Linked DNA regions of Sus scrofa. The protein of the gene in region 1 interacts with the protein of each later gene in a biochemical or structural test. Links are inferred from orthologs where the notes say so. Each region holds a gene or a part of one and is shown in the gene's direction. Other genes may lie near its edges.

Evidence for each region. The genes of interacting proteins can lie anywhere in the genome.
Region 2: the proteins of SP1 (region 1) and KLF10 form a complex in vitro, tested with the Homo sapiens proteins (2 studies listed by BioGRID). The link is inferred for Sus scrofa from reciprocal best matches to the Homo sapiens genes SP1 and KLF10.
Region 3: of the proteins of SP1 (region 1) and CDK1, one has a biochemical effect on the other in vitro, tested with the Homo sapiens proteins (2 studies listed by BioGRID). The link is inferred for Sus scrofa from reciprocal best matches to the Homo sapiens genes SP1 and CDK1.
Region 4: the proteins of SP1 (region 1) and HTT form a complex in vitro, tested with the Homo sapiens proteins (2 studies listed by BioGRID). The link is inferred for Sus scrofa from reciprocal best matches to the Homo sapiens genes SP1 and HTT.
Region 5: the proteins of SP1 (region 1) and NR2F1 form a complex in vitro, tested with the Homo sapiens proteins (2 studies listed by BioGRID). The link is inferred for Sus scrofa from reciprocal best matches to the Homo sapiens genes SP1 and NR2F1.

The regions. Positions count from the first base shown.
Region 1 is NC_010447.5:18,587,461-18,591,562, forward strand, and holds the start of SP1 (transcription factor Sp1), read left to right. Parts: upstream 1-1,302; 5' UTR 1,303-1,480; coding exon 1,481-1,487; intron 1,488-1,989; exon of another isoform or gene 1,990-2,391; intron 2,392-2,567; coding exon 2,568-2,722; intron 2,723-3,055; coding exon 3,056-4,102. UniProt on the Homo sapiens protein: Transcription factor that can activate or repress transcription in response to physiological and pathological stimuli.
Region 2 is NC_010446.5:34,428,916-34,432,931, forward strand, and holds the start of KLF10 (Krueppel-like factor 10), read left to right. Parts: upstream 1-1,216; 5' UTR 1,217-1,340; coding exon 1,341-1,376; intron 1,377-4,016.
Region 3 is NC_010456.5:64,232,552-64,236,788, forward strand, and holds the start of CDK1 (cyclin-dependent kinase 1), read left to right. Parts: upstream 1-1,437; 5' UTR 1,438-1,530; exon of another isoform or gene 1,531-1,544; intron 1,545-1,679; exon of another isoform or gene 1,680-1,724; intron 1,725-3,829; 5' UTR 3,830-3,854; coding exon 3,855-3,891; intron 3,892-4,237. UniProt on the Homo sapiens protein: Plays a key role in the control of the eukaryotic cell cycle by modulating the centrosome cycle as well as mitotic onset; promotes G2-M transition via association with multiple interphase cyclins.
Region 4 is NC_010450.4:1,808,571-1,812,567, forward strand, and holds the start of HTT (huntingtin), read left to right. Parts: upstream 1-1,197; 5' UTR 1,198-1,341; coding exon 1,342-1,577; intron 1,578-3,997.
Region 5 is NC_010444.4:100,446,373-100,450,460, forward strand, and holds the start of NR2F1 (COUP transcription factor 1), read left to right. Parts: upstream 1-1,288; 5' UTR 1,289-1,531; coding exon 1,532-1,991; intron 1,992-2,175; exon of another isoform or gene 2,176-3,720; coding exon of another isoform or gene 3,721-3,733; intron 3,734-4,088. UniProt on the Homo sapiens protein: Coup (chicken ovalbumin upstream promoter) transcription factor binds to the ovalbumin promoter and, in conjunction with another protein (S300-II) stimulates initiation of transcription. Binds to both direct repeats and palindromes of the 5'-AGGTCA-3' motif.

The DNA.
Region 1 (4,102 bases):
CAGGCCACGCAGGCTGCCTCCACCAAAACTAGGGTAAAGGAGAGGCAGAATGAGTAGCCAGAAATTCAGGTGTTTCGGGAAAAATCACCTCTAACCTTTGCAGTTGCAAAAAGCAGGCACTCTATCTGGCTACTTGCTTTATGTTTAAACGTTATTTACAATTACGGGGTAGAGGCAGGGGCGGGGGTGGGGTAGCAGCTTACAGGACCTCGAACTCCAGGAAGTCCTCCAACACTCTTTAGCCTCAAAAGCAAGCTCTCGAAGAGTTAACCGGCCTTAAGTAGCTATCAACTTTGGGGGAATTTAGTAAAATGGCGTTTGCTGGAGTCTCACAAAGACCTTGCAAATTGGTCAGTGCGTTATTAACCTACTGTATGAGCGCCCTCGCCAGATCTCCTTGCGCCAGCACCCACAGGGGTTACACCATATTCTGAGGCATCCGCCTGCCAGTCCGCCCACCGCGGAGGGGGGAGACCTGAGAGGTACTTTTAAAAGCGGTTAAGTGAAGACTCAAACAAGCCCTGATGTCGAGGAAGAAATGCGACGCGCCGCGGGGCTCGGCCCTGACACTTGTTGAATTGCAGGGCTCTGCTGAAGCCTTGCCACCTAATCACGGTAAAGACGTCCCCAGAGGAGGGCCAAAATGGCGACGGACTCCTCTTGGCACAGCCCTGTTACCTCCCCGACAACTGGCGCCTCTAGTAACGCCCATTGGCCAAGCCGGAGGCGGTGCCTGGCTTCCCTCGCTGCCTCATTGGGCTGAGTGACTGAAGCAGCCGCCAATTCTCCCCTGCCTACTCCAGGTTCCCGCCCTCACAGTTTAAGCAGCATTCAATTGGCTTTTATTCACGTCAATTTGTGTCCTAGCGCGTCTCTTTTCAGTGTTAATCCAATCATAATTTTCCTGGCCGCCCGCCTGATTTCTGATTGGTTTTGATAAGCTTCATCCTATCCCATTCCTGTCTACTTTTTACCACCTCCCACCAGGACTTTGCCCAGGCTTGCCCAGGGTTTTGGTTGGTCGCTGTTCTGTCATTCCAATGAAAACCCTTCCTATCCCTACGTCTCAGCGAGCCCGCCTGGCAGTTGACTGGTTTCTCTCCAAGCCTATCATCTCTAAATCCCGCCTATCTTCACTTCCTGCACCTTTCATTGGCTTTTAAAACTGAGAGGGCGCCCTTTTTGGGCGGACACCACGCACGCAACTTTGTCTTACACGCCTTAGAGAGCAAACGAGTCTCGCCATTGGGTAATTTGCCTGTCTTTCTTTTGCAAGTCCCTCCTTTCACCCTCCCTTATTGGGCGGGGCAGCAGTGGAGGGGCGGGGCCTAGGCCGGGCTTGTGGCGCGCTGCTCCCTCCTCTTTACCCCCCCCTCCCTGTCCGGTCCGGGTTCGCTTGCCTCGTCAGCGTCCGCGTTTTTCCTGGCCCCCCCAACCCCCCCGGACAGGACCCCCTTGAGCTCGTCCCTCAGCTGCCACCATGAGCGGTAAGGATGAGTCCACTCCAAGCTTAGGGGTGGGAGGGGAGTGAGGGGGCGCGCGCGAGGGCCGACCGGGCGGTCCCCGCCGTGAGGGGGGCGGGCGGGAGGCGGCGGCGGCGGCCTTGGTCCCGCCCGGGGCGGAGGGAAGGGAGGGAGAAGGGGCAGTGGCGGGGCCTCGGAGGAGGAGGGGGATGGGCCGCCCGCCCCGGGGGAGGGGGCAGCGTGGCCTCGCCCGCCCCCTGCCCGCCCCAGCCACGGGGGACGGGCCTTACCCCCCACTACTCGGCCGCCCGCCTGAGGCTCCTCCTGCCGGGGGCTGGAGCCGCGGGGGCGGCCCGAGCAGTGCAGGCCCCGCCCGGGCCAACCGCCTCCCTGGTCCGCCCTCTGGTCGCCGCCGGCCCCAAGGCCCTCCTCCCCCCACCCCCCGAAGGTTACCCCTCCCCCCCGTAGATTACCCCTCCCCCTACCGTCCCGCCCTTTCCACGCCCCTCACCCCGAAACCGCCCTTTCCTTCTAGGGCCCGCCCTCTGTCCGCCCCGAAACTCCTGATTTCTAACCCCTGGACCTCTTTAGCCCCTTTCTAGTATTCACAAATGTTCCCCCCTACAAAACTTTTTATCTCATCTTTTCTCCTTCCCCTTCCTTTCCTCTTGTGACTTTCTACACTTGAATTCTTCCCTTTCTCCATCTCCTTTGACCCTAATTTGAGCAAGCTTTCCATCCACCCACATGTTTTATGCCTTATCTATATTTCTCCTTTTTTTCCCCGCAGGATACTTTTAAACTCCTTCAACATGTCCACGGACCCTTACATTGTCTATACCAAAAGCACCTTTTCATTGTTTTCTGAGTTTAATTTTGTACGAGGGAGAACTGCGGCCCAGTTTTGGCACCAAGGGGCCCAGTTCAGGTCTTCCTAGCCCTACAGCTGTCTCTTCTTCCCCAATCCTTTTTTGTTTGTTTGTTTAAATACTGGGACTTTCACCTTCCTGTTAGTCATTTTTGTTTGGTCCTAGTCTTCCTTACCCTTCTTCATTTTATCTTTTTTCTTTCCCCAACTTTAAGTTATCTTTTAATTCTTTTTAGACCAAGATCACTCCATGGATGAAATGACAGCTGTGGTGAAGATTGAAAAAGGAGTTGGTGGCAATAATGGGGGCAGTGGTAATGGTGGTGCCTTTTCTCAGGCTCGAAGCAGCAGCACAGGCAGTAGCAGCAGCGGTGGAGGAGGAGGAGGGCAGGTAGGTGATCATCTGGACAGAGTGGGCATCGTGTTGAGAGGATGTAGATATTCTTAGATGATTGTCTTTTCACAAAAAAATTTTTAGGAAAGGGCTAATTTACAGATAGGGAAGTAAGTACAGAGACAAGTGACTTGGAGATCCCCAAAGATGAGAATTTCAAATTTCAGCAGTGTAGATAGGTTGGCTTTTTGTTTGCTTGGGGGGGGCACTGTTTTGCTGTTTATTTATTTATTTTGGGTTTTTTTTACTGTTTATTTTTTTCTACTGCCCCCAGGGCTGGCAGCTGGTGTCACTAAACTAATCTCTTTCCTCTCCCTTATTTTTGGCCAGGAGTCCCAGCCATCCCCTTTGGCTCTGCTGGCAGCAACCTGCAGCAGAATTGAGTCACCCAATGAAAACAGTAACAACTCCCAGGGCCCAGGCCAGTCCGGGAGCACAGGTGAGCTTGACCTCACAGCCACACAGCTCTCCCAGAGTGCCAATGGCTGGCAGATCATCTCTTCCTCCTCTGGGGCTACCCCTACCTCGAAGGAACAAAGTGGCAGCAGTACCAATGGCAACAATGGTGGTGAGTCTTCCAAGAATCGCACTGTCTCTGGTGGGCAGTATGTCGTGGCTGCCACATCCAACCTGCAGAACCAGCAAGTCCTAACAGGACTGCCTGGAGTGATGCCTAATATTCAGTATCAAGTAATCCCACAGTTCCAGACGGTTGATGGGCAACAGCTGCAGTTTGCTGCCACTGGGGCCCAAGTACAGCAGGATGGTTCAGGTCAGATACAGATCATACCAGGTGCAAACCAACAGATCATCACAAATCGAGGAAGTGGAGGCAACATCATTGCTGCTATGCCAAACCTACTCCAGCAGGCTGTCCCCCTCCAAGGCCTAGCTAATAATGTACTCTCAGGACAGACTCAGTATGTGACCAATGTACCAGTGGCCCTGAATGGTAATATTACCTTGCTACCTGTCAACAGCGTTTCTGCAGCTACCTTGACTCCTAGTTCTCAGGCAGTCACGATTAGCAGCTCCGGGTCCCAAGAGAGTGGCTCACAGCCTGTCACCTCCGGGACTGCCATCAGTTCTGCCAGTTTGGTATCATCACAAGCCAGTTCCAGCTCCTTTTTCACCAATGCCAATAGCTACTCAACAACTACTACCACCAGCAACATGGGAATTATGAACTTTACCACCAGCGGATCAACAGGGACCAACTCTCAAGGCCAGACACCACAGAGGGTCAGTGGGCTACAGGGGTCTGATGCTCTGAACATCCAGCAGAACCAGACATCTGGAGGCTCACTGCAAGCAAGTCAGCAAAAAGAGGGAGAGCAAAACCAGCAGACCCAGCAACAACAACAAATTCTTATCCAG
Region 2 (4,016 bases), on another chromosome or scaffold:
GGTGCTTTCGCCGGCCGGGGACGGGGGTGGGGTTGGGGTGGGGTGGGGGTGGGGATTGTGTCTTTGATTTGATGGGCATTTCCACTGCAACCCACCCGCAGGCGTGCCCTGCCTGGCGCCAGGCGACCCTAGAAGACCCCGCCCCACCGCATCCCCACCCCATCCCCAGCAGCAGTTTCCTGGCAGAGCGTTTCCGGAGGCCTTGGCCTGGGGTGTGTGTGGGGGTAGGGTCTACCTTTGAAACAGCTGGTAGACTGCAATTTAAACTTTAGAGCGAGCTCAAAACTCGATTCTGCAAACGAGCGCCGGCGCCAGAGAAAGATAAGAACTCTAGTCTATGGCTCCCCATCACCCCCTTGGTCTAGTTCTCGGGGCTTCCTGCCGTCCCCACAGCATTCTCTCCACCGCCCAGGAGGAAGGATGGGCGGGGCGGACGGGGGCGGGCAATGCCGCAGGCAGCGCAGATGGAGAGGGCGAGCCCGCGCCGCCGGCCCTGGCGTGGGCGGGGGGCGCAGGAGCAGGTGTCCGCATAGTGACAGGATTCCCTTCCCTCTCCTACCCTCCCTTGGTGCTATCCAGGGCTCTGCGAGTCAGAACCCTGCAAATGCTCCAAAAATGCAGCTCAGTCGGTCACCGGGCTCTGTTTTCTCGCCAGACGCGCAAGGGGACGGCGCTTCCAAATGCAAATCTCTTGGCTCGGGACCCTTGGCTTGCAGCCACTGCCTCCCCCGCCTGGCTACCCGGCGTCCCGCCTACCCCGCGGAGAGCCGAGATGGGGCCTCGTGCGGCGGGGACAGGGCGGAGCGGGCATCCTTCCCCACCTCCCACGTGGGGCCGGCCCTCCGCAGTCCCTGGGCGCGCCGCCGCTGCCGCGCCTCCGGGCTAGGCCCCCGTTCTCAGCGCCGCCCCCCACCCAGGCCAGGGAGGGGGAACTACAGGCGGGGGCGTGGATGAGGGGTGGGGGCGGTGTCACTGAGTCAGGTGGCGGCGGGAGTTCCCTCGGGCTGGGCCGAGGGAACACGCTGCCGGGGATTGTGTACACGCTCCACTGACACAAGCTTCACGCTGCCGGGCAGCCGCTGATCACGCGTGGCTCCGCTAGCCCATTGGCCGGCGCCTCACACACCTTTGTCGCTGATTGGCCGATAGCAGGCTCCGCCCCCACCCCCTCCCGCGGCGCGGGGCAGGCGGAGCAGCTACCTGAATGGGGAGGGGGCAGACGGCGCGGAGCGCGGCGGCGGCGGGAGTGGCGTCGAGTGTCTCTGGGCGCCCGTCTGTGGCCAGGCAGCCAACCAGCCTAGCAGCCAGTCAGCTCGCCGCGGGCGGCCAGGCAGCCAACCATGCTCAACTTCGGCGCTTCTCTCCAGCAAGCTGCGGTAAGTCACCTGGGGATGCCCCTGTCCTTCCTGGCCTATGCTGCGTCTGAGGGGCCCCCGGGGGGCGCGAAGCCTGAGCCCCGTGACATCAGCCACGCCGGAGGACGGGGGCTGCAGTGGAGTCGTAGGAGAGGAAGGGGCTTTCTGTGTGCAGACCGGTCTTTAGTGACGGCGTGCGTAGTGAAGAGGGTCAGGAGAAGCAGGCTGGGGTCTAGAGACGAAGGGAGAGGGGGTTCTTGCTCTAGGTGTAATGAGGGAAAGGGTCAGCTCTGCCGGGAGACCTGAAGCAGGTGAGGGGGAGGATGACTGGAGGGGTGGCAAGAGTGGGGTGGGGGCTGCTACCCTTTCAGCGAGGATAGGAGGTGTGGAAGGAGGAGGGGGGTGAGGGGGCCACCCTGCACCTGGTGCTGTAGAGAGCTGCCTCTGTCTAGATCAGGAATGCAACCCAGGGTGGGAGAGTAGTGCTTGCGAGGATTTGCGGGGCAAGGTGTCCGCAGGAGAGGAAAGGGGGCTCCCCATTTAGGCGGTCTGAACGGAGGCTTGCGGGACGGGGGCTGCTCAGCAGATAGCCGACCACTGGGGGAGGGGCGACTGGCAGGAGCGTGGGGGATGGCACGCGGCCCCGGGACCCCTGAGGGGGGCCGCGGAGTTGCCCCCCCCCCGACGTCTGGAGGGACTTCCCATTCCCGGGGCAGGCAGGTGGCCACACTCTGAGCACCTCTCGGAGGGGGCAGAGAGCCGCCTCGGCGATGTGAGGGTGGGAAGCGGGACCCAGCAGCAGGGCGGAGAAGGTGGGCGGGGGGAGCCGGGCCGCGAGACGCGGGGGCAGCGTGTTAAGGCGGGAGCCGCAGGCCGTGGGGCCGCGCGTCTGGAGCCGGGGCCTGTTGGGGCTGCACGTCTGGGAACTCGTGGAGATGCGCAACGGGCTGGGGCCGGAGCTGCAGGAAACCTCGGGGAGGGGGCGCCGCATCTTCGGGGAGAGTCAGGGTGGTCCGAAATCCCGCGGGCGGCGTGGGCGGGAAGCGCAGAGGGCTCGGCTAGGTCCCCGGGGGCTGCGGCCGGAGGAGGGCGGGGGCCGGGTTTCCGCGGGGACCCGGCTCCTCCCCCGGCAGCTGAGGCGGAGGCTGGGGGTGGGCCGGGAGCGGGTGCGCTCGGGGAGCTTCTCGTCCCCGAGTGACCCAGCTCCGGCCTCCGCCAGGGGCGGGAGCAAAGCCCGGCCCCGCTGTCGGTTCCTAAGGGAACGGCGGCTCGCTGGGAGTTGGAAGGGGCGGGCGCTCCCCGGCCCAGGGCCCCGCCCCTCCCCGCGGGCTGGGGCGCGCACTGCCGGGCGGTTGGCGGCGGCGCCCGCGGCCCCTCCCCCGGCCCGGCGCGAGGGCGGGGGCCCGCGGGCTCAGGAAGTAGGTGAAAGGTGACGGCGCGGCAATTCCCAGTTCACGTTTCCTGCGCCGCCCGGAGCAGCCGCTGATCACGCTTTGTTCACATGCCTCGCCCCCTCCTCCTCCTCCTCCGCGCCCCGCCCTCCGAGGCCCAGCCAATCCCAGCCCGGGCCGCCCGGCCAGCTGGCCAATGGCGGAGGCAGGGAAGCGGGGACGTGCGAGCGGCGAGGAATGTTCCCAGTGACTCACCCGCGAGCCTCATTGAGGTTAGGGCGGCCCCATCTGTCTGTCCCCGCCAGCGAGGATCTCCCCCGCCGTCCGCCCCCGCCCCTCGTCTGCCTCCCCCGCCCGCGCCTCCGCCCGCGCTTCCCTTTCCTGCCTAGCGCCCCACTCCCAGTCCTCCTCCCCTCCCGGCTTCTTTTCCGGCCCTTCCCACCTCGTACTCTGCTTCCCGGCTGCCTGCCTTTTCTCTTTTTTGCTTTGCTTTGGCGTCTTGAGGCTTTTACACAAACATGCGCTGTCCGCTGCAGCTTACATAAAGGGCGCGGGATTATGCAATTGCATAGTTAGCGATATTTCAAGAGAAATGGTCGTTTTCTTAGGGTTTCAACATGAAGGGTTTATGCATTTTTTTAAACAAGCGTTAAGAATAATACCTTGCAACATAAAGAATGCTCTTTTTTTTTTTTTTTTACACAACCTCTACTTTGACGAAAGAATGAGACCACAAAAAAAAAGAATAAGATGGAGGGTAGTACCTTTTTTTTTTGGTGCAGTTTAATATGAAGCATTAAATACCCGATAGAAGGAGCATTAACATCAAGCATTAAATACCCGATAGGAGTTGATAAATATAAAGCATGCGCTGTTATTTATCATCAATTTTGGCCTCTCCTCCCCGTTAGGAAAAAATATCTGAAAAGATCTCATGCCATAACCTGTATTTTTTTTAATGAGTTTTGCAGAGCCTTCCCTTATTTTGTCTGACTCCTGTTGCAGGTGGCTACTCTGGAAAGAATATAAAACCTTTTTTTTCTTATAAGCCAAATGGGTCTCTTTTAGATTTCAAATTAATTGGTACCTTTGGCCTTGGTCCCCTGAGAGGTAATAAGGATAAGGTCCTCCTCACCTTGCAAGGGTATCAGTCTTCAGGCCTAAGTGTCAGAGGAAGAATGAGGAAGATTTTATCACTATCAGAGGAGGGATGAGGAAAAGTTATTTCAGATTTTATCTTGAAAAGTTTGTGCAAATTGTAAAAAAGGAA
Region 3 (4,237 bases), on another chromosome or scaffold:
CCTCCCAAGAGAAAGATATATATATTTATTCGGTAAAATTAGTACACTAAACTACCAGAAAGCAGTCTTCTTCTCTAGAGCTTTTCTCCAGGGGCAGTTTTCATTTAAAATGTGAATTTGAAATTTTAGAAATAGGTTTTAAAGGTTATTAGGTTCAGGCCAAGATTTCCCAACCCCCTATCTCCACCATGAATCCCAAATGCTCTGCCTCTGATACCCAGGAGCACAAAGTTTCCAAGGCTGAGGGTTTGTGCCATATATAGGGCCGGATGACAGATGCTGCTCCTTGCATAATAAGGTATTAAAAACATAAATGCCTGTGGTATACTAGCTCCTTTCCTTAGCCTAACTTGAGTCATCTAACATATAACTGTAGAGGTCATGGTAATGATTTTTTTGTCCTACATTCCATTAGGGTCAGTGCAAAGACTCTTATCCCTTATTCTATTTTGCTCTTTTATCTCCCTAAGGACTTAAGAATGGTGTTCAGGTGCAGAACTCCCTCTTTAGGATATGGTGGAAGGCAATGAAAGAGTTTTGGGACACTGGATTATTTAAAGTATGATTTAGATCTCTTTCTTCCCTCATAGAAATGTGAACTCTTTTTTTATTTATAATTTATAATATAAATTTATAATTCTCATGTAAGAATATTTTAAAAATGTTTTAAACGTGGATCCAACACCACAGCCAGGGCGACGCTGGATTCTCCATGCACTGAGTGAGGCCAGGGATCTTCCTGGGTACTAGTCGGATTTATTACCCCTGTGCCACAACGGAAACTCCCTGTTTTTAGTTTTTAAATAACATTTTAAATAGACAAAATAATTTAAATTTAAAAAGTGAGGTTAAAAACATAACATAGTCAACATGTGTGTAATGTAAAAATAGTAAAGTCCAATGTGTATATGTGTGTGTGTGTGTGATATAAAGTTTTTCTTTACATTGATCAGGACATCTTTGAGTTTTCTATTATTTCCTTGAGGTAACTGAAATGTCCTTTGGCCCAGCCTGAGAGTTATTAATTTAGAAAAACACAAATGTGAGCTAGCTTTAAGAATTTTAAGTGAAAGTAATGGGATCTAGATTAAGTGTGTTATCACTTTTCTGATGAGGTATTTGAGTACAATAAATTTTAAATGTGCCAGTATTGTGAGGGGAAAAAAGCCAACCCCTGGCGAACAGTAGATTTCTGATGACTTGAAACAGTAGGACGACGCTTTCTTGGAATGGAAGACAGCGCTTGCGCTCACACTCAGTTGGCGCCCGCCCTCCTGCTTTTTCTCCAGCCGCCGTTTCCTCCTTCTTTCGCGCTCTAGCCACCCAGGAGGTCCAGCCCAAGAGCAGCTGGGCTCTGATTGGATCCTTTGAAAGTCTACGGGCTACCTGATTGGTGGATCCAGGACCCTTTAGCGCGGTGAGTTTGAAACTGCTCGCACTTAGCTTTTCAAAGCTGGCTCTGGGAGCTTAAGGAGAGCGACGCTGACGTGGTAGCCCTGCCGCCGCTTTCGTCGCAGGATAATAAGCTGGGTAGAGTCGCTGGGGTCAGGGTCATGCTTATGGGGCGTTCAGTTGGCAGGGGAGGTTCGCGGGCCTCGGAGGGGGAGTGTTAAGGAACCGGGTGAGAATTAGGAGGCTGGGCCCTGGGCAGCAAGGGTCTGCGTGTGGCCAGCCGGGACCTTTATCTGGGGCCTGGGCGTGTGAGTGACGCCGAGGTCCGTCATGAGAGCGAGGCTTGGGGGAGCCCAGCCCTGGCAGGATTACTCCGGCCGGGCTGGGGTTGCTCTGGCCTCGGAATTTAGCCTGGGGTCGCGGGCGGCTGAGGAGGCTTTGAGGTCATGGTTGAAGCCGAATCCGCGCATTCGACGTTGCCAAGTGCTTGCCGAGTGCCAGGCTCGGCCTTCGGTCCTGCAGTTCCCCCCGTCCCTGGTGCGCCTTGCCCTCGCCTCTGGGCGTGGAAAGCAAGGCCGCACCTGGGCCAGGTACCCGAACCTCTTCCTGATCCCAGGACGCCCCTGGAAACCGATTGGATGAACTAACTTGTGGGTCTTCTCAGGCTTGCGTCTGTGCCTGTGACCCTAGCCCACCTAGAGCTTTAAGGAAGACTTAGCCAAGGCATACAGCCCGAGAGAACTTGGATTTGTTTTAATTTGTTTTTATGCTTGGTGGTTGTTATATACCATGGAGTTGGTAAAGAGTAGATATCTAAGAAAAGCCTACAGCTAGAAACGTGTGTTTTTAAATCCTATAGTCAATTTTTACCTAATAACTTGTACGTCTTGCTTCCTCTAAAGACCTGGAGGTCTCTGTAGATGAAGTCTTGGTATTTCAAGGCCGGCTATACTCAAATTCCGAAGCTGCTATCTTTATTTCAAATAGTTACAACCGGAGAATGGAGGGAGAGTAATTGAACCCAGCGTTGAGATGGAGTTAGTTTTTAGTTATTTGTTTAACCTGAGCTTAACAATTTTATTGTGCTTTAGGCATATTAAATCTGGATATTGAGGAAAAGATAATTATCTTCATCGTCCACTGCCATTTGTAAAATTAAACCTTTCTAGGATGGCAAGTGTAGTGCAATTTTAATTCATTTAGAAAGATCTATTTCTGCTTATTTCTGGAATGATTTTGAAGATGAATGTGAGAAATAGAATCTACGGGTCAAATTACTCAGAGTGACCTTTGTATATAAGCTTATCAGTGATTGTATTATAAAATTAGATTTTGAGCTTCTGAAGTAAATGGTTGACAGGCAAACTAACCAGCCAAGACTTAACAGGAAGTCTTGTATCTGATTATCATTTCAGCTTTTTTTTTTTTTAAGCCTTTATTGTTCTTGTCTGTTGTGTGGGGTATAGATTTTTTTTCCCCCCTGTGGAATTGTACCTTTTCTTTTAGAGTGCTTAGTGATATTTCCTGCCTTACCCTCCAAATTTTTATCCTGTGTGACTGCTGAGAACAGGAGAATGATTAAAACTGTCACTTGAGCGAGCTGAAACACTTTTGCTATTTTAAACACTAATGAAAAAAAAAAAAGAGCCGCGTTGTCTGCCTGCTTGTATCTTTCACAAGCATCCTATCTTAATAAATCTATTTCTTGCATTAAAAAACCCCCCAAAAAACCCATAATGAGCGAGCAGTGTCACATTTTAACTCCCTGCTCATGCCTTTAAAAATTGTTTAAAAATTATCTTCATAAAAATATCATAAATCTATACAAATTCAGTCAAATAACATTCTTTGTTAAAGTATTTGGGTACAACTCTGACACATATTGTTGGTGCTCCTTTTTTTTTTTTTTTTTTTTTTGTCTTTTGAGGGCCACACCCGCAGCCAGGAAGTTCCCAGGCAAGGGGTCCAATCAGAGCTGCAGCTGCCGACCTGCGCCACAGCAACGCCAGATGCCATCCGCTTCTGCGACCTACAGCTCTCAGCAAAGCCAGATCCTTAACCCACTGAGAGAAGCCCGGGATCGAACCCGCAACCTCATGGTTCCTAGTTGGATTCATTCTGCTGTGCCACTGGGGGAACTCCTGGTGCCCTTTAAAAGTGTTACATGAAGAGAACATCTGTCTAAATTTGAGGGTTTGGAAGGCACTAAATGTTACACTAGTATAGGATATACAATTATTTCCAGTGTTTTCATGAGCTAAGGTGGGAGAGTTTTTAGTTCTTTCCCATGTAAATATTGTTTTAATATAAGATTTATGGAAAATTAATACTGCACTAGGCACTGTGGAAATACTTCCCTTTAGTATCTCATTAATAACTTAAAATTGCCCTTTGAGTTTGTGGCATGTAATCAAGTCCATTTTTCCTCTCATTTTAGGATCTACCACATCCACTGAGTAACTATGGAAGACTATACCAAGATAGAGAAAATTGGAGAAGGTGAGTAGTTTTAATAATATACAAGGTTTTTTTTTTTTTAATGATTTAATGATGCTGCAGCATCCTTGACATGAAGACGTGAACATTCATTAAAGAATGAATGTTCTATAGGTACCTTACAGTACATTAGTACATTAATACATATGTTCTTTACATGATAATTGAAACATAAAAATGTTCCCAGTTCAGGAGAATTGAAATTATTTTCGCATGTGTCCCCAACAGCCCCCTCCAATAATCTTACATTCTTCTAAGACAAATGCTTAAAGCAATATTTGTATTTTGAATCCTATTGATATCTTGTAGGTGTGGTTGGGAGAGTGTTCATGCAGTGGAATTAGGTACT
Region 4 (3,997 bases), on another chromosome or scaffold:
GATGGAGGAGGCCAAATGACAGAGAACTTTATGTTTCCATTTTTGGGCCCCACCCTAAAATATAAATTTTACTTAATCGCAAGCGAACCACCAGTGACAGCCCACACTCAAGGGAGGGGGCTCTTTCTTCAAGGCAGTGAGCAGCAGGAGGGGGTCACTGGGCCATCTGAGAAGTCTGCCAATCACAGTACCTGACAGCCTGGAGTTCAGCCACTGTGGCCTGTGCTGCATGAAGGCTGGCATGCAGCCTCGCCAGTGAACAAGGGCCTTTATTAACACCAGGGAACAGGGACCTCAAGGCTGGCAGCACGTTTCTCTGAGATCCTTCCCTTGAAGGGAGGCCCCCATTGCTGTCCCCTTGGGGACAACGCTTCCTGTGGGGATGCTGGGTTTCTGTTCACCTGACTGCTTTGGGACAACAGGCTCTGAAATCAGGTGAAGACTTCTGGAGGCTTCCTACTGCTTGCCCCAGAGGGCTTTCCTGAGGCCGTGTGCTCCGTGCTGCCCCTGGCTTGCCCACTGTCTCCCCTCCAGGTGATGAGGCTCTGGAGCCCTAGACCGGACCTTTGCACACCGGTCGGCCTCCGCCCTGGGAGTGGACAGCCGTGGGCTGGGCAGTCTCCTGTGGGGGCATCTCCGGGGTCAAAGCGGCTTCTCGCTGCACCAGCCACAGCCTCTCTGGGGAGCAGGGCCTTGACCAGGCAGGTTTTTTTTACCCCGAAGCCTTCAGCTCCCCCTTGGGCTACTGACTCTCCTTCCAGGGCCCAGCTCCTCTCCGAGGGGTCACACCTGGCCTCCCGCCCGGAGGGTCTTCTAGCTCCACTTCCCCCTTCCTCCTCTGCAGGGCTGTCCCAAGGACCTTCCCTCCTCCACGGCCGCTGGATGGGCAAGCGGCCCCGCGGGGGTCCCCGCTCCACACCCAGGGCTGACCCTCCCGGCCATCCCCCAGAATCCTTCCCGCGGGCGGGGCTCCCTCCCGGGGGCGGGGCTCCTTCCCGGACGTGCCGTGACGCTCACGCCCTCCCCGTCGCGCCCCGCCCCCTCTCCCAGGGGCTCTAGGAAGCCAGGCGGTGGGCACGGGGGGCGGGCCGGAGCCTCGTCCGGTCATTGGCGGAGGCCGCCGTCTTTGGTTGTCAATCCCGCCGGTCCGGCCCCGCCCCGCCGGCGGAGCGTCGGGGGACGCAGGGCCGCGGGGGCTGCCGGGACGGACCCAAGATGGCCGGGCGCCTCGGTTCCGCTCCCGCCTGCGGCCCCGAGTCCCATTCATTGCCGCGCTGCTGAGCGGAGCCCCGAGGCGGCCCGAGGGCTTCGGGGGCTGTCCCCGCGGGGCGAGAGGCCGCCATGGCGACCCTGGAAAAGCTGATGAAAGCTTTCGAGTCTCTCAAGTCCTTCCAGCAGCAGCAGCAGCAGCAGCAGCAGCAGCAGCAGCAGCAGCAGCAACAGCAGCCGCCGCCACCGCCGCCTCAGCCTCCTCAGCCGCCACCGCAGACGCAGCCGCCGCCTCAGCCGCCGCCGCCCCCGCCCCCGCCGCCGCCGCCGCCCGGCCCGGCAGTGGCCGAGGAGCCGCTGCACCGACCGTGAGTGCGGGCCCCCTGCAGACCCCGGCCCGCGGCGACGGGGCGACCCCGAGCCCCTCCCCGGCCCTGCGTGGGTCTCGGCCCCCCGCAGGGCGCGGAGCCTCGCCGGCCCCCCCCGGAGGCACCGGGGCGTCCCGGCCGCGAGGTTAGGGACGGAGCCGGGGCCGTGTTGGGAGCAGCGCTTGGCGGAGCGAGGCCGGCTCCGGTCCCTGCCCCGCCGGCCGCGAGGAGCGGGACCCGAGCCGGAGCGCCGCGGGGGAGCGGTGACGTCATGCCTCGGGGCGGGGGCGGCGGCGCGCGCGGCCCAATGGCGAGTCCTTTCCGAGGCCCTGGAGCAGCCTGTTCCCGCTGCCGCCGGGCATCCCCCCGAGTGCGGGGTCGCGGGCGGAGCCGCAGCGCGTTCGGCGTCGGCCAGAGCCGAGCTTGTCTGCGCTCCCGTTGGTCTGCAGGCTCTTGAGCGGGTTGTGGTGGCCAAGTTCGTGGTGCGCTGTTTAGGTGGTGATGAGTCACGAGGGAGAAACTAAAATTTGCCTGGAGTATTGGGTCGAGTTGACTGTGTGCAGTGCCTGTGTGCAGTGGGAACGAGAAGGACGTGTTGCTGAGGGAGAGGTTCACTGCCGGGGGCGAATGCGGTGCGGGAACGTGGCTGTCCGGGGACCCCGCAGGCGTCGCCTGTCGCTGACATCCGGTGCTGTTGGGAAGTAGGGGTCTCTTGCTTGTGCCAGGGAGAATTTTTGAGACAGAAAAAGAACATTTCAGGAGCTCCCGTCGTGGCGCAGTGGTTAACGAACCCGACTAGGAACCATGAGGTTGCGGGTTCGGTGCCTGCCCTTGCTCAGTGGGTTAACGATCCAGCGTTGCCGTGAGCTGTGGTGTAGGTTGCAGACGCGGTTCGGATCCCGCGTTGCTGTGGCTCTGGTGTAGGCCGGTGGCTACAGCTCCGATTGAACCCCTAGCCTGGGAACCTCCATATGCTGCGGGAGCGGCCAGAGAAATAGCAAAAAAAACCCCAAAACGAACATTTCATTTCATAGAGCACCTTCTGAGAGCACCCAAGCCCTTCCCCTGGAGTCCCGTGTGCCCAGTGGTTCAGCCGAGGCCGGGGCGTGCTCCGCGGCAGGCCAGCCTTTCACCTCGGGCCACTTCGTGTCTGAGCCGAAGGTGGACGGAAGGCATTTCATGAGGACGGCTTTCAAGAAGCAGCCCCTTTAAGGCGCTCACTCTGTTAAGGCTGATGCACTCTTAGCAATGTTTTCTTCTTTTCTTCTTTATGTTTCTGATAGGATCCTTGCTGTGTCAGAGATTTCGTTAGAAAATGAGAGTCGAGGAGTGATTTTGGCTTATCTGTTAGAATAAAATTTAGAAATAATTTTTTTCTTCTAGAAAAGGTCTTTTGAATACTCAGAGGGGAAAAAAATATTTTTTAACAGTTTGCTTTACCTCTGCAGCAAGTAATTTATAACCATAACCCATCGCAGACTTTCATGGTAGTGCATCTCCTGCAGGTGGATGTCATGAAGTTAACACGTGGTTGGGACCTTGTATAAACAGGGGAAGCACTAGTGGGGCTCTGTGTAGGGAGGAGGTTCTACTGCTGTCCCTGTCTGCTCGTGCAATCACTTGGTCAGCCTAAAAATATGCCTTCTGCTTCTTATGCTGATTTGACAGAACCTGAATTTGCTTATCTTCTTCAAAATACGGGTGTAAAGAGGTTTCCTTTTTTAAATTTTTAAAATAAAAAATTGTTTTAAAATTTATAATTATTATTATTTGTCTTTTTGTCTTTTCTAGGGCCGCTCCTGCAGCATATGGAGGTTCTCAGGCTAGGGGTCTAATCAGAGCTGTTGCCGCCGACCTACAACCACAGCCACAGCAACACCAGATCCTTAACCCACTGAATGAGGCCAGGGATCGAACCCGAAACCTCATGGTTCCTCATTGAATTCATTAACCACTGAGCCACGACAGGAATGCCTAAATTTTAAAAATTTTTTATTTATTTTGCTTTTTGGGGCTGCACCTGCAGCACATGGAAGTTCCCACGCTAGGGGTCCAATCAGAGCTACAGCTGGGAGCCTAAACCACAGCAATGCAGGATCCGAGCCACCTCTGGGAACTATACCACAGCTCATGGCAACTCTAGATCCTTAACCCACTGAGCAAGGCCCGCAACCTTATGGTTCCTAGTCGGATTCATTTCCGATGCGCCACCACAGCAACTTTCTGCTGCTGCGCCACGATGGGAACTTCCTTCTTAAGCTAGCTTGATGAAGTAGATTTTGTTTCACTGTTTTATTGTAAGGAAATGTATGATTGACTTATTTTAAACGGAACCTGATTTTTTTTTGCATGAATAACACAGTCACTTGATACAAATTCCAAAATTGCAAAAAGTAAGTAAAGTAGCTCCCATTCTTTTC
Region 5 (4,088 bases), on another chromosome or scaffold:
CAGAGGAGTGAGGGCTAAACTTAAGGGAAAAAAAAAAAAAAAAGAGGAGGAGGAGGAGGCACCCCCTTCGTATTCTTCTTATCGTTATTTTATACATATATGATTTTTTTTGGAGGGAGGGTGTTGGTTCCCGGCTGAAGAGCACTTATTTAAAATACTAAAAAAAGAACATTTTTGGGCGATCTCCAGGGTTTTTTTAACTAGCTCTGTGTGTTATAGCAGAAGAAGCAGAAGAAGGAGCAAGAAAGAGGAAAAGAAGAGGATTATTTATTCGACCTACTTTGGATGTCTCTTTCGCTTTTTTTTTTTTTTTTTTTTTTTTGCAATTCTTTTTCTTCTGATTTTTATTTTTTCTATTTCGCTGTGAAATCGTCGCCGGCGTGAATTATCTCGTATTTTTTTCTCCCTCTGTCACCTCCCGAAAGAAGAAGGCAGCGAGAGCCCGGCGCCACCCGCACAACAAAAAGAGCAAAGTGTGTGATCCTCCTCGCTGGCTGCCTTCTGCTCTCCAGCGCTGCCTTCCTGAATGGCTGGCTGCGTCCGGCCCTGGACCTGGCCCCCCGACACCAGCGCGCCCTGATCGCCGCCGGCAGCCTCGCCCCGCGCCCTGCTCGGCTCACCGCGCTCCCCTCAATCCCGAGCCCAGCGAGGGCTCCCGCCGGGACAGCGGCGGCGGTGCGGGCGGCCCCGACCTGGGCTCGCGCTCCTCTGGCTGCAGCCCCGACTCCAGCTCGGACTCCGGCCCGGGCCCGGGCTCCTCCAGCGGCGCTCGGCGCTGCAGCTGAGGCGGCAGCTCCAGAGGCGCCGGCAGCCGCGACCTCCTCCTCCTCCGCCGCCGCCGCCGCCCTCGCCCGCTTCCTCTATGTCTGCTCCGCCGGCGCGCAGCGCGTAGCCCGAGCGGCCGGCAGGCGGGCGGGCGCCCGGCGCGGGTGAGCGAGTGTGTGTGCCAGTGTGTGTGTGCGCGGGGGTGCGGGCGAGGCGGAGGGTGAGTGTGTGCGCGCGCCGTGGCCCATGCCCGCCGCCCCCGGCGCTGCGCCCCGCGCCGCTCCCGGCTGCCGCCTGTGCCATTTCTGATTTTGCAACTTGGGGAAGAAGAAAAAAGCGAGAGAAGGGAGCTTGGTCGCTGGGGGGGGTGGGGAGGGGGGGAAGGAGAGCGTGGCCCCCCAGGATCAGAGCGCGGGGGGAGCGGGCGAGGGGAGCAGGGGTGTTGGGGGGGGAGCCTGAGAGCCTGGGGGGCTGCAAAAAGAGAGAAAGAAAACAGCAGGAACCACAACAAAACGCCAGCAGGGCGGGCGGGCGCGCAGCAGCAGCGGGGCGGCCGAGGCAGTAGCGGCGGCAGCGGCGGCGGCGGCAGAAGCAGCGGCCAGTGCCCGGCTCGGGCTCCGCTCCCGCGACCCCGGGGCGCCGGGCGGGCCCCCCGCCCCCTCCCCCTCCCCCCTTCCCCTTCCCCTTCCCCTCCCAGCGCGCCCGCGCGCCCCACGGCCCTCGGCGAGCAGCTCGGCTCCCCCCAGCGCTCCCCGGGCCCAAAGATATGGCAATGGTAGTTAGCAGCTGGCGAGATCCGCAGGACGACGTGGCCGGGGGCAACCCCGGCGGCCCCAACCCCGCAGCGCAGGCGGCCCGCGGCGGCGGCGGCGCCGGCGAGCAGCAGCAGCAGGCGGGCTCGGGCGCGCCGCACACGCCGCAGACCCCGGGCCAGCCCGGAGCGCCCGCCACCCCCGGCACGGCAGGGGACAAGGGCCAGGGCCCGCCTGGCTCGGGCCAGAGCCAGCAGCACATCGAGTGCGTGGTGTGCGGGGACAAGTCGAGCGGCAAGCACTACGGCCAATTCACCTGCGAGGGCTGCAAAAGTTTCTTCAAGAGGAGCGTCCGCAGGAACTTAACTTACACATGCCGTGCCAACAGGAACTGTCCCATCGACCAGCATCACCGCAACCAGTGCCAATACTGCCGCCTCAAGAAGTGCCTCAAAGTGGGCATGAGGCGGGAAGGTGAATATTTCTTCTGTGCTTCTCTCCCTGAGCTTCGCCCGCCTCCCCGGCCCTCTTTCTTTCTCTCTCTCCGGCGGGGGTGGCTGCTGTATGAGGCTGGGGCTCCTGCGGTCCCGGCCCGTCCCAGCTTCCCCTGTCCCCGCTGCCTTCCTCCCCCGGCGTCCCCCCCCCTTCTCCCCAGCTCGCTGCCGCTGCCTCCCCCTCCCGGCCTGCGCTCCACTCCCCGGCTCCTCCACCCCGCCCGCTGCCTGCTCAGGATTGAGTCCCTGGGATCGTGAGCTGTGGCTTAAAATCCCCTTCCTCTGTCTTGGATGTGCTCGGTGTGTGTCTCTTTCCCGCGTGTGCGTGAGGATGCTCGGGGCTGTGCTGGCATGTACTTGGGGAGGGGTGCTTTTTCCCCCAGAAAACTCTGTTTCTGTGTTTTTTCATTCCACTTTTCCCTCCACCTCTTCATGCCCTTTATTTAAAATGGGGGAGGGCTGGAGACTGGAGTACTCTGAACCATAGATTCATTACTGCATCATCCTTTTGGAAGCTTAGCTTGGGAAAAGAGGAGTGAGATTTATTGCACTTGTAGGTCTAATTAGGGGGGAAGGGGGGCTTCTGGCCTGTTCACTGGTTCCCTCTCCTCTTCACCGAGCTGGGGCCGCCTCCTCCAGAGCTGTGGCCTTGTTTTCACCCCTCTACTTTGAAAGGAAAGTTTGTGACTGAACCGTGCTTTCATAGTGTGTCATTTTTTTTTAAAGCATGATACTCGTTTTATTTCTTCATCAAACTCCACCCTCTGCTTAAATACTGCATACAAATTACAATTTACAGCGGCATTTACCGATCCTTCTGATTTGGCTATAATGCATAGACTGCAGCTGGCATGAGCTTCCACATCATTTAATCCCTGTGTTGTATGGATTTGGTTTCTTTTAACACAACTTTTGATGTTGTATTTAGATATGCTTCATGTTCATGTGGCAAGAGATGCAGCACTTTTCTTATAAATATATCTAGCCATTTACAGTTAAAGTTTATCTCCTGACAATCATTAAAGATGTCTTATAGTCAAATTAGCGAACCAGTCAATTTTGCAGAATGCAGATTACTCCTTCTTGTAATTGACTTTAAAATTATATTTTATATGCCACAAGAAAAGAAATTGAATTCCTTCAGACCTCAAGGAAAAGGCAAATATGATGACTTCATTTCTAGCTCCAGGGAGATTTTGTAGGCATCTGAAAAAAAAAAAAACTTTGAATTGTATTCTCATTTAATTGAAAAATAACTGCCAAGTTCAAAACTATAATTAGAAAAAAGTATTCTAGCCATTATGTCTCAAGAGCTTAAATTGCATTGGGACTTGCATTAAAATTAGAATCAAAGCAAACTTAAGAAAATAGTATACAACCTGAAGTGAGATAGCTACGTGTACATGGACATATCTATATTAATTTGTTTGGGGGAGAGTTCAGTAGCCCTAACTTTTCCTAAAGTTGTCTTTGTTTACATGGCAATTTAAAACGCTGGCACTGTTGAAGTAAAACATACACATTAAAAAAAAAAAAAACTTTGGTCAGCTTTAAGAACTCAAAGCATGCTTACGTTTTGCATTCAGATGGTTAATGAATCCAGTGTTTTGCAGTTGCAAGCTCGTGCATTCACTGGGCAAAAGCTGGCTGCAGGTTGCAGTGGCACCGCGCAGGACAGACATTAATTATATTTCCCACTTTTTTCAATAATGTTTGGCTACTGTAAGTTCAACTTTTTCTTGAAATTTTTCAATTTTCTGTTGCTTTTAACAGTGAGAACTTTGTGTGGGGCGATGGGGAGGAGGGGATAGGGGAGGGGTGCAGGATACTTGTTTTCTGTTCAAAAGTTGTAAATGCTTAGTAGGGTATGTAACTTGTATCTATTTCAAGGATAATTCCATAGCATTTTTAGATAATATGGCAACATTTTGAGCAAAACCTGCTTGCTTGTAAATGAAGAGGCAGCTAGACATTTGCCTAGAACCACAACCTTTCTTTGGTTTCGCCTGTTTTTGTTTTTGTTTTACCCTGATTTGGTACTTTTTGGAGGGGTGAGTGGGATTTCATTAATCTGTGT